2 linked regions of the Neodiprion lecontei genome follow. The protein of the gene in region 1 interacts with the protein of each later gene in a pairwise test. Links are inferred from orthologs where the notes say so. Each region holds a gene or a part of one and is shown on either strand. Other genes may lie near its edges.

Region 1 (4,868 bases):
CTTGGAAGTCTCTGCTTAAATCTGTAAAAAAACAAAACACGACACTTGAATTAATTTAGCAAATAGGCTTTTTACTTTTCAGATTAATTGCTGTCTATTTTCATATTTATGCATCGCATGTCATGCAAGAACAAAAGTTCGGCTCTAAATGACCGCCTTGAATTATCAATCAATAATTAAAATAAGTATTGTTACCTGGAATCTGGGCTGCTCCACACTTTTACACGTAGTAGTTCTTGTGGCATCTCAGGTTTATTGGTGAAGCGACGCACTTTTTACATCATACAGATCTTCACTAGTCTTTTATAGTCTAAAAATCCACACCACAATAACACTCACAGATTCTACACTCACTTTTTGTGCTGTTGCTGTCTGTTTGAACCATATAATGGTTTGAACCGACTGAATAATCGTGCTAACAATGCAACTGCGCATTTGCCGAAAAGAAGCCAAAAAAAAATAATAAAACTGACACGCGCTGCACAGAGACAAAATACACATCACTGAAATCTGAAGTCACACAAAACAATGAAAACTCCGGATACGAAATGCACCTTCGACGTTCGCGAGTTATTTTTATTGCAGTTACTCGGTTTTTATTCAGGCTACACGCTGCTCCTCGTGTATTATTCACAGATGAGAAAGGTGGAAATACACTGATCGAACAAGGTGACACAACCTGAACAACGCGGTCTAAATGTTGAACCGATGCTGAGAACGCATGATTCCGCTCCGATCGCTCGGAAACGACTGATGCTGCTTGGCTCTCAGAAATCTATTTGGAATTTTGCGATGTATAGTTAGATTGGAGTAGGCGTTATCTAGTACCCTTCGGTTTATCACTAGATTCTCGTACTGAAGTTAGGCGTGGTTAACGAGGGTTATGAAATAGAAAGGAAAGCATGTATTACCCGAGGTAACCTCGCGTATGCGGAAAGTGTAGCGCAGGAATGAAATGAGGATTCATGGAGTAAGAGCATTTACGCCATATACAACTTGTTTCTCTCGCTCTACAACCTGGTAGGCCGATACGTTTCCTCTCACAATCAGCCGATCACATCCAGAGTGAGTGAGACGGAACATTCAGAGTAGCCCGGGAATACATATCTTCTTCTCTTATTACTACGGCCACAGTTTTCACGAGGTTGATGGCATGGGTAGCTACCAGTCGTACATGTTCTAAGGTCGGATGCTACAGCAGTGTCAATCACTGAATATACCTATATTTTATATTAGCGCAAGTAATGCAGGTCGCTGTATGACAACGGGAACGTTGGAATACGGACCAGTATATTCAAGATGGTGCTTGAAAGTACGATGATATGGTGAGCGGCCAAATATTAACGAATTAAGGATAACTACCGAAATATCTGATGGGGTTTGATTGACACCTTTGAAAACTAGTCGGACACCGGTTTTGAAAATGTGCATTATGTTCAAATTGAGCTTATAAGTCGGATGAGCGGCGCGTTGTTCGTTCGGTGTTTTTCGGAGTGACAATGCAAAGTTGAACGGCTTCGTGTCGCCGTATATAAAAGGCTTCTGCAATTCACCCTTCTATGACTTCACGCAAATTCTTACAAATTTTTACCCTACAATCAACCGCGCTGCAATTTATTCGGAAATCCCACTGATCCATTTTTTTCCTCACCAATCTACCTTTTTAGGTTATCTTATTCTCTCAAACGAACAATTTGACCAGGCGTGACTTTGGCCTAATTTACAGTCGTCTATTGGTTTCAACACTTTTCTTGATCCGTTATTTTTATCTCATCTCAACAGCGATGAGTAGATGTGAATCAAATTTTATTTACTTTGTACAAACAACTGTGACATTAAGTAAGAAAGCAACCGATCAGCAAGATGAAATGATATGTAAATACAATAGAATAGGATATACACACTTTTCCTGCAGTTTATTTGGCTAGCATTCATTGAACTACTTTCAGGGATTTTCATTATTTGAAGTGGATGAAAACCTAGATTAATTAAATTTCAAGAATCATGTCCCAACAACCCGATACAGCTGTAACCCATTGTCACATCTTTAGTTTTATCTGGTCATTCTCCATTTTTATACAAGAGTACTTCACAGTTTGCGAAAAATTTGCGACTTGACTTATTGATTTTATATTTAATATTGGTGATATATTCTTTCCAGTGTCGACAACAGCGACTACATGAGAAATGGAGATTTTCTTCCGACCCGCTTGCAGGCTCAACAAGATGCCGTCAACTTAGTATGCCATTCCAAGACCCGATCCAACCCTGAAAACAACGTAGGACTTATAACTCTTGCTAAGTAAGTAAAGTGCAAGTCAGAAAAAATATTTATCCTTGTTTTATTCCTCATCATCCATTGATTATCTGCCTTTGCTACAAAATTTCTTGGTTTGCTTTTGTCTAGTGTTGAAGTATTAGCCACGCTGACCAGCGATGTGGGACGTATTCTATCCAAACTTCATCAAGTACAGCCTAATGGAAACTTGAGTCTGATCACTGGCATCAGAATTGCTCATGTAAGCTATTCTTTCAGATTGTGTTTTTTGCCACTTGAAAAACATAGATTTATTCCATATTTTTTCTTATCTTATGGATATGAAAAAATAATAGGATAATGCTCCACTAGTTGAGAACCTAAATAGAGTATTTTCTGCAGTTTGCATATAACGCAATTCCAACACACAAGTCTAGCCATTTGCAAAAGTAATTCTCACAAAATCATTGTGAAAAAAAAGTATTTTACTGAATTATTGTACTTACAAAATAGCCCAATTTCTTGGTCTCAAGTTTATATACCATATTTTAGCTGGCTCTGAAGCATCGCCAAGGAAAGAACCATAAAATGCGAATAGTCGCATTTGTCGGAAGTCCAATTCAGTTGGATGAAAAGGAGTTAGTAAAGCTTGCCAAGCGTTTAAAAAAAGAGAAAGTGAACGTAGACATAATAAGCTTTGGCGAAGAAACAATCAACAACGAGGTCTTGACTTCGTTCATAAATGCTTTGAACGGCAAGGACGGCACTGGCAGTCACTTGGTAACCGTTCCACCTGGACCCCACCTCTCAGACGCTTTGATATCCTCACCAATAATCCAGGGAGAGGATGGAATGGGGGCAGCTGGGATGGGCGGTGCAGCATTCGAATTTGGTGTGGACCCCAACGAAGATCCTGAACTGGCGTTGGTACGCGTTAGAAGCTACAATCAAAAATGGATTTTTTTAGTTCATTCGTTATCCACCTTATTTTCTGGTATCAGGCACTTCGTGTATCTATGGAGGAGCAGCGACAGAGGCAGGAGGACGAGGCTCGGCGAGCTCAGGCGACTGACACACCTGCTAAGCAGCCAGAGACCATCAAAGAGGCTCCTAACGAGGAAGCGATGCTCAAACGCGCCTTGGCCATGTCCCTTGAAGGGGCCGAAGATACAAGCTCACCGGCAGAAGCCGTTGTAACGACTACAGGAAACGTTCCCGACTTCGCGCACATGAGTGAGGAGGAGCAGATTGCTTTTGCCATGCAAATGTCGATGCAGGATCAACGTGAGCATTGCATTGTTTGGGCGCTTACTACGCGGTTCTTTTTCAAGTCATTTCATATTTTGTTCATTCGAATTCGGCGAGAAATATTTTGCACTGTTAAAGTTTTATTTTGTTATTCAAAGTGACGAATGACTGAGAAGAAAATGTTATTCAATATGCGAATATTTTCAGAGGAGCCTGAAACAGGAAAGGACGAGGCCATGGATGTGGAAGAGGATTATGCAGCAGTAATGTCGGATCCAGCGTTTTTGCAATCCGTACTTGAAAATTTACCCGGAGTCGATCCACAGTCGGAGGCAGTTCGTCAGGCAGTCGGTTCCTTGCAACAAAACAAGGATAAACAAGATAAGGAGAAGAAATGAGGGATATTGCTTAGATGAAATAAATATAATAATACTTACCTAACTACTATAATGAAAAGTTCATTTAAGATTATTTGATACTCGTTAAGCCACTGTGTAATGGTTTATTGTGGAAGCTTCGATATGATAATGAAATACACATCATCGATTTTGTGGAAATAACATTATCACCTTTTTCGTTATTTTTTCGAATTGCTGGTAAAAAAATAAAAGTTTGAGTAAACTAAAGAATCGTTATTAGAACAATAATGATAACAACAGTACCAGTCTCAAGTGAATTATAAGTTCATGTTTGTTTTAAAAAATTGAGCATAAACAATGGGATACATTTATAATCATCTATCGCGTGTTGTCATTACCTATAGTCTTAAATAGCACGTGATTTCAATAAACAAGTTTATAAATATCGATTTTATGCACGTAGCCAATCACCAGTTATAGGGCAACTAAATATTGCACAAATATACGGAGTAAATTTAAACTAGTCAAATTTCTCAGACGTTGGTTCATTTTATTCGTATTGTTACCAGGATAATCTTCTTAACTCAAAACGGCAATATTTGGTAAAAACCATGTGAACAAGGTTTTAAGCACAAGAAGATCTATTTTGAAAATTTTACTATCATTGTTCTATGAAATTAATTATAGAATTATTGTTTTTATTAAATCAATAGAAGTTTCGTAGGAAATTATGCTTTCATCAAAGCTGTTATGGCTAAGATAGGCATACGAGGGAAAAGTGAATCAAGGAACATTACATGTATTCTCGTCCAATAACGACCACAGGTCTGAAATAAAGCTATTCCCTTGAAGTTTATAAATTGAAAATTTCTAGTAATATAGACGTAATACAATTTTTCTTGCCGGGGCGTCCTTAATGTAAATGAGATTTATTTTAAGGCACAGCAGGTAATCGATGGTGACTTAGGTAAGTGTATAAAAATCTAAATGGTTGATTGAAAAAT
Region 2 (7,572 bases), on another chromosome or scaffold:
TCCAGCAATTAATGAATATAAGTTATTTTAACAAAATATATGAGTTTTCAATGTTTCTTTTGAGATTGAACAATTAGTTTGGTGAAAAAAAAAATTGAAAATTAATGTAAGTAAAATAAATAAAATGAATTATTTATGATAAATGTGAAAACGTTTTTGAAACACTGGATCAATCTATTCATATATATATCAACTATATATCAACAAAATTACGCATTCAGAGTGGCCATAACCTGTTATGTACTTGATATTATTTTCAGCAGGTCTATCGAATTACCACTTTGTAAATGATTCTTTACAGACCATGTGATAGGATAGAAAATAGTACCAATAGCGGTGATGAGTATCGGAGTATTAGTCCTGCTATTGAATTATTATCATTACTTACAGTATTTAACGATGAGGCTGTAATTTCCACGAACTAATCCTCCCTTGAAACTGTCTTGAGAGTGATCAATTCTGCGATACAGTTTCCTGAAACTAGGAAGGGCTGCCGTTCTCATCCAGACAATTAGGTCTTCATTTTGAAATCCGTTGTTGCTAATATTTTTTGTATCCAATTCATAAATAGCTTTGGACCAATTTTTTGGTTTTGCATAGTCCTTGAAAGCGTCTTCCAAAGTATCATAACCTTTAGGATTTGCGAACTTGATGGATTTATCAGAAGGCCAAGCTATGCCATAATTCAATAATGGAACAAAATTCTGGTGCACATGGGACCAAAGAGTCAACTCGTCACTGAACAACGAATTTGCTATTGCTCCACAAGGGGCTATAGGCATTTCAGTGTTATTTACGTAAGAATAAGCAAAAGGTTTACAGTCGCTGGATGGTGTCTGACTTAACTGGCCCAATAGCTGGTTATCATCACGAGATTTAACATATCGTCTATGATTCTGATAAAAATTGGTCAGGCCATAGTACATATAAACGTTACCACCAAATTCGTTTGTCAATGTGAAGTTAATTTCACAATAGCACACAGCTGAGGAATTCAAAGCAATTATGTCGGCACATTTTGTTTCGTTACCAGAAGCTGAACTATTGGAAATGCAATTAGTGTAATCGATGGAATGTTCCTTGACCTCCTCCGAAAAATAAAGTAATCCTATGCCAACTGGTATGAAAGCTATTCCTATTACAAAGAATGTTGGAAGAACTGTTCCAGCTGTAAGAATTGGTTGCCACGCAGGGAGCCGTTGCTGTTTGAATGCACTATCTGAAAACCAGAAAAAAATTTTGAGTCATTTCATTTTGCAATAAATTTAATGAATGGTTTTGCCGTATCTGGCGAATGTCTCCCTCGGCTCGTGTTGTCAGCGTCAGCACACCTTTCAGTATTATTACAGTTCAGTGTAAAAAGCACGTGTGTACGCATTATGACATGAAGAGCAATGTAAGGTTATGTTGCGAATCAATGAATGTATGAAGTCAACTACTAATACGTAGTACTATAGTGAAAATATAGATTATGGGGATCATTGCAATATGATAAGAGTGAGTTAGGGACACAGTAAACCAACGGACATTTCATGTATAAAATCAATAATGTGTCATGAGAATTATGTAATGACAGATTACTGCGTCATGTCAAGTAAATTCTTCGACAATATTGATCTTACGTTTGCCTGAACAGGTTTAAAAATACAACATCTTACTCACCGGATGGTTTTTTAGTCTTTGGCAAGACGGAGGGGTCCGTCAAGGTCGTCATTTCTTTAGAATCGTTAATTTTTTTCAGACTTTGACAATTCTCACGACCTCACTACCGCCATTTGCGATTGATGTTTATCCACTCGGTTTGTGTAAGGTTCGTAGGCCGCAATCACTGACCTCAAGGTGTGTGCAGAGAACTAGTCAACACAGCAATTTATTCAAGGAATTTTTAATGTACCATTTACCTTTCTTAATACATCTAATGTGAGGTATTTGTAATTAGGATGTTTGCCAGGGAACGGTGATAATTTCTCTGTCAACCAGCAGGCAGTTGAAGCGTTGTACCTGTATCTCAAGATGAGTTTTATGACTTAATACGGACTCCTGATAGTATTGGCAGAACTTGATATAAAAAAGAAAATTAAAGTGACGAATGAAATATTTTTACTCTCTCAGCCCTTGCGAGACGCGCGCGTTCAACGAGAGCCGAGCGGGTCACGATTTCCTCTTTTCATTCGCTTTGGATCACGTCGTTGAAAAAGGTTCATGGCGCTCACGAGCTCCGAGTGCCGAATCATCAGCGCGAAAATATCTATCAAAACATAATTTTATTTCGTGAGATACACAGGATACTTTGCCTTAAGTAGTAGTAATTAACGTAAGCGTGTCTGCTGACGATCCAAAATGATTATTACGCTTAAAAATCTTCAACAACAGACGTTTACCGTCGAGATTGACCCCTCGAAAACGGTGAGTAAAAACTGCATTAAAGTGGCCGAAAATGTCTTTTTTTTTCGGTTTCTATTCTAAAACCCTTAGTTGCTAATGAAAATGTTACTTGTTCTTATTGCTTATTCAGGTTAAAGAATTGAAAGACAAGATCGAAGTTCAGAAGGGTTTTCCGGCTCAGCATCAAAAACTCATATACGCGGGTAAGCCAATTTCTCTGCCATAACCTATCTTTTTTCAATTCTTAATGTCATCATGCTTTTATTGTCTGTACATACATACTTTACCATATTCTGGCAACCTCCGATACGTGACTCACCAAATCTTTGTATTGCTATTTTAAAATTTTTATTTTGGAACATAAACTGTTACTGATGCTGCAATATTCCAAATGCATTTCTTATGTGTGCAGGAAAAATATTGACCGACGAGCAGCCTTTAACTACCTATAATATTGACGAAAAAAAGTTTATCGTGGTTATGGTAACGAAACCTAAGGCTGGCGCTGGTCCAAGCACTAGTGAGGAACAGCATGCTGATGGTGACAATAACAAAGAACACACAGCAGCTAGGTATGATTGCCTGTGCTAATTTAAACATAAGAAACATTTTGTAAATCATAGCATTACAACAGATATTTTCTGATGAAAGAATACTTTCTCTAATCATTTTTTCATATATTTACATTGGGTAATACTACGTGTGATAATTCTGCATTACGATTAAAATTATTCTTCATTTGTCGATGTTTGGGAGTTGGAGAGTAACGGGGAAAGGAGACAACACACTCAAAGAGCATGCGAAAAATAGAATTTAATTGGTGAAATTCTGTTGAGCAATTTATCAGTATTTCTATGCATTCAGTTTACTCAAAATAACAGGATTGTTTGGACCTTTTTTTTATGACTAATAAGAAACACCCTTTTCAAATTTGAGTTAACTGAATTAAATGTTTCCGATTGTTCAAGTAAGTGCAGCACAAAATTCAAAACCACTCATTCTGTGTAGGATTAACTAACATATGTAAGTTAACAATTTGTCGAATAGAAATTGACCAATACACGTTTACACGTTTAGCCCAGCAACCTTGACTACGACTCCTACGGCTGCAGAAGATGTTCGTCCCCGACCACCACCAGTTGTGCTTGACCCACCTGCAGCAGTGGCACCTACTGGAGCTCAGGCAGAAAGTGCTTTGTTGATGGGAGAAGAATACAATACAATGGTCAATAATATTATGGATATGGGGTCAGTAGGAGCTACATATGGAATCAAGTTTCATTTAAATATAACTAATGTGAAAAAAACAACTCACAGATTTATTTTAAATTGTTCAGGTACGATCGAGAGCAGGTTGAACAAGCATTAAGGGCAAGTTTCAACAATCCTGACAGAGCAGTAGAATATTTACTCACTGGTATTCCAGCTCAGCTGTTTGAGGACCCACCTGAAGACCCTCCTGAAGCCCAGGACCAGGCTCAGGATCCCTTGGCATTCTTACGCACCCAACCACAGTTTCAGCAAATGCGCCAAGTGATTCAACAAAATCCGCAATTACTAAATACTGTACTGCAACAGATTGGACAGACCAATCCAGCCCTACTGCAATTGATTTCACAGAATCAAGAAGCCTTTGTTCGCATGCTCAACGAACCTGGTACTTTTGAATCTTATGTCATTTCTATTTCCATCAAGGTGGAAAATTATCCTTGAGCATTGAAAAAGTAGAGTTTTGTTGACGTTCTTGCATACAATCACTTGGTTCATCCCATACAAAAAACTTTAAAAATCTCAAAATCAACTAAGGAGTGGCAGATTCAGTCTCGCAGAAGTGATCATTTGTAGTTATTTTCGTTGCGCGTTATTGGTAGCTCTCATCTAAACTTATCTAAACTATGCAGATCGAAATTATATTTTGAACACATAAAAATTTAGTCGATGTTTTGTATTTGAATAGTTGGTGCTACCGGCGGAACAGTTCAAGGAACGCCAGCAGCAGCGGCTGCCGTGGCCCAAGGAGGACTTACAGGTGGTACGGGTGCCGTTGCTGGTATTGGTGCTGGTGCTGGGGCAGGTGTGGGCGCAGGTGCAGGTGCGAGTCTTGGAGCTGGAGTGATTCAGGTGACGCCACAAGACAAAGAAGCAATCGAAAGGCTGAAGGCACTGGGATTCCCTGAACATCTTGTTGTTCAGGCTTATTTTGCATGTGAAAAAAATGAAAACCTAGCGGCTAACTTTTTGCTGTCGCAAAATCTCGATGATTGAGAACCCATACTTAGGGGACTGTGTGTCACAGAGTTAACAGATGCTAGAGACAAGAATCAACACAATGGCTATGTTGTCAATTAATCTCATCATGCATCTAATCCATGAATGGCTTTGTTGCTAACAATTCTCTGGATGTTGCAGACAAAACAGCCATTCTCATGTAACGTCCTTTGATAAATATATTTCTCTTTCATCTAGAGATAAGGGAAGTATATTATGTAAATTTCTTATTTTGAAAAGTAACAATTCAAGTAGTAATCTTACATACCGATATTGAGTCTTTCATTACTTTAGAAGAAAAAAAATTGAAAATGTTTTTAGTAGTTACTTTTTTCACTAGTTAGTTCGGTGGCTCTGTTATAATATTTTATGTGTACAATGCAATACAACTTTTAAAAATTTACAAGATAATACACCTTAAAATAGACGTTGATGTGATACGTCTATATTATCGGTTGTATAATAATACATAACACTTCTGAAAAACGAATATTAATAACAGAGCCAAAACTAACAAATTCCTAAAGCTAACAGTCCAGATTAAATTTAATAATGCAAAGAGAAAATTCGTAATTCGAGACTTAATTTTCTCGTATAATGTTATTCACAGTCAAAGAATTGAATTTTATTTATGCATAGTCAAACGATAGAAATTCTTTTGCTTTGTATACTATAAATTGCGAACCAAAAATGTAGTAATAACATTTTTCGAGGACGGATGATAAGAGTGACAATTTAAGATAACTAGAATTTGTTTAATCTTGTTTAATAAAAAAGTTAGCCAAACTGTTGCACAAAGTTCAATATACTCCTTTAATTTGTAGATACAATTGACGCCATAATACAATTGGGCATTTTCTTAGAGATGTAGCAATATACCTGCGCACAAAACTTTCATCGTCCAACGAAGCTTGTCGAAACATCGGCACAGAATCGTCGAACACCTTAGTGGGCTTAAATACGGATGGGTAACACAATTCACTACAATGTGATAAGATGTTACTAGGGAGAAACTGAGCTGAAATTGTAAATTCGAATATCCACTTTGGCCACAAATTTTTTCACTTATGGTGTTTCTCTTAAAACTTCTTATACACCGTTGTCTCTAAAGTCAAGTTACTCTGTGACGGTCACAAAATTAAGTTTTCATACCAAGAGATGGTGAAATTGCATTTTTGTATAGGAAAAACCCGATAAAAATATATGGTGTGTGTGTGTCTATATTCATAGACATACATATATGCAAATACACACATGTATAGACTCACGAGAAAGAAGTGGAGCTTTTTTGAAATGTAAGGTTCAAAAATGAATACCAACTAGCAGCCATTACAGTACGCAATACTTTCTTCATACAAAATCACAACACCAACTAAACTATTGCCTACAAAGAAATCACAAGGTTACTAAATTAGTTGGAGGTGCCTCATTTGCTTAAATGGAAATAAAATTATTAATTAAATTAAATGGCCCGCATATTGCATTGCAATTGGCCAAACAATAATTGCGAATAAATTTTTAATGTGAAGTTATGAGACCTTTTTACGGCAAGTCTTGGTATAATGATGGGGCGGATGGAAAAGAAATTGGACTACAAATTTGTTTTTTGATAAAAATACAGTACAGGATTGTGCGTAAACGTTGACAATTGGCTGCAGTTTCTTGACTTTACACGTTTACCTTCATCGTTTTGTACGTATTATTACTGTCTTACAAAAAAAATTATACTTTCTCCAATTTCATAAAAATTATGGCAGTTGATTCATGATAATGATAAGAATACTTCTGTTATGACACACCCAAAACACCTTGTAATACTTACATAGCATAAATAAATATGTTAAGATTTTCAAAAACGTTTGGTGCTTTATATACTTTCATCCACATACCGTTGTTTATTTTTATTAATTTTATTATTAATAGTTTACGTAACACGTCTAACAAGTATAAACATAAGACACGCTCTGAATTCCTGCAGAAATTGAAACTTAGCAAGAGCAGTGCATTGGACGGAAATTAGATGAACAATTCTGTGCCTAATACTTCTAGAAAATTATGAAGCAGTTATTTATTTTATTATTATTTGATATTACATATGAAAGGCGTATTTACTGGCAGTGTGCGTGATACGACTGATGAGCAAATTATTATAAAACCAGGAAATAATTGAGTTTCAAATTTACCTGATTCAACCCTTTGTTTTCCATATTTTACAAAAGTCTAACATTGCCAAAACTTGCTGAATGTGTACCAAATAATCTGCAATATCGAAGATTCGAAATATGAGTATTTTGAATAATTCCAGAATTTATTTTGTGTTAGTTTGATTCACATTGAGGTTTTTGAATATTAGATAGTGTAAAATGGTTCTGTGCGGTTGGACTGAATGCATGAACAGTTTACCAATCTGAAAAATACCTGGTAGTATTCGCATTGTAAATTGTTCCAAATATTTGAATTGATTAATTGTTCTGGCACATAAAGCGTAACAAAACTAACAACACATTAGAAGTTGAAACAAGAAAAATACATGAAACCGTATTGAAGTAAAAATAACTAACCGTCACTATTAAATAATTACCTGTTCATTTGAATAATATTTATGTCAGAAAAATTGATGAATAGGTATCAATCAGATATAAAAATAGGCAGTCATTTTAATTTTCAATTCAAAAGGACAAAGCAAATCTAACAAAGATGAGTAGAAAACAATTCTGTGAAAGATATCGTGGGCAATTTTTGTGTGACATAAACTCATTTTTCTGTAAAATACCTTTATGGTTTGCAAAAACTACATGTAACTAAGCGTTATCTCTATAGTCATACAATCAACAAGCTATATAATCAATGTTTAACAATAAATATAATTTACTGTAGGTACCATTTCATTGGGATAACTATGAAGTAAAATACTTCGAT

Evidence for each region.
Region 2: the proteins of 26S proteasome non-ATPase regulatory subunit 4 (region 1) and UV excision repair protein RAD23 homolog B interact in a two-hybrid assay, tested with the Caenorhabditis elegans proteins (3 studies listed by BioGRID). The link is inferred for Neodiprion lecontei from reciprocal best matches to the Caenorhabditis elegans genes rpn-10 and rad-23.

Annotation. Positions count from the first base shown.
Region 1 is NC_060262.1:20,521,273-20,526,140, reverse strand, and holds 26S proteasome non-ATPase regulatory subunit 4, read left to right. Parts: upstream 1-1,989; 5' UTR 1,990-2,004; coding exon 2,005-2,060; intron 2,061-2,161; coding exon 2,162-2,302; intron 2,303-2,407; coding exon 2,408-2,519; intron 2,520-2,809; coding exon 2,810-3,184; intron 3,185-3,258; coding exon 3,259-3,541; intron 3,542-3,712; coding exon 3,713-3,903; 3' UTR 3,904-4,065; downstream 4,066-4,868. UniProt on the Caenorhabditis elegans protein: Binds and presumably selects ubiquitin-conjugates for destruction. Required for protein degradation and ubiquitin-proteasome system (UBS) function and regulates proteasomal subunit expression. Involvement in UBS might be cell type specific.
Region 2 is NC_060260.1:33,127,417-33,134,988, reverse strand, and holds UV excision repair protein RAD23 homolog B, read left to right. Parts: upstream 1-2,199; 5' UTR 2,200-2,340; coding exon 2,341-2,406; intron 2,407-2,515; coding exon 2,516-2,588; intron 2,589-2,797; coding exon 2,798-2,957; intron 2,958-3,462; coding exon 3,463-3,633; intron 3,634-3,722; coding exon 3,723-4,042; intron 4,043-4,342; coding exon 4,343-4,650; 3' UTR 4,651-7,053; downstream 7,054-7,572. Other genes in the region: cell cycle control protein 50A, read right to left, coding at 389-1,219, 1,663-1,714.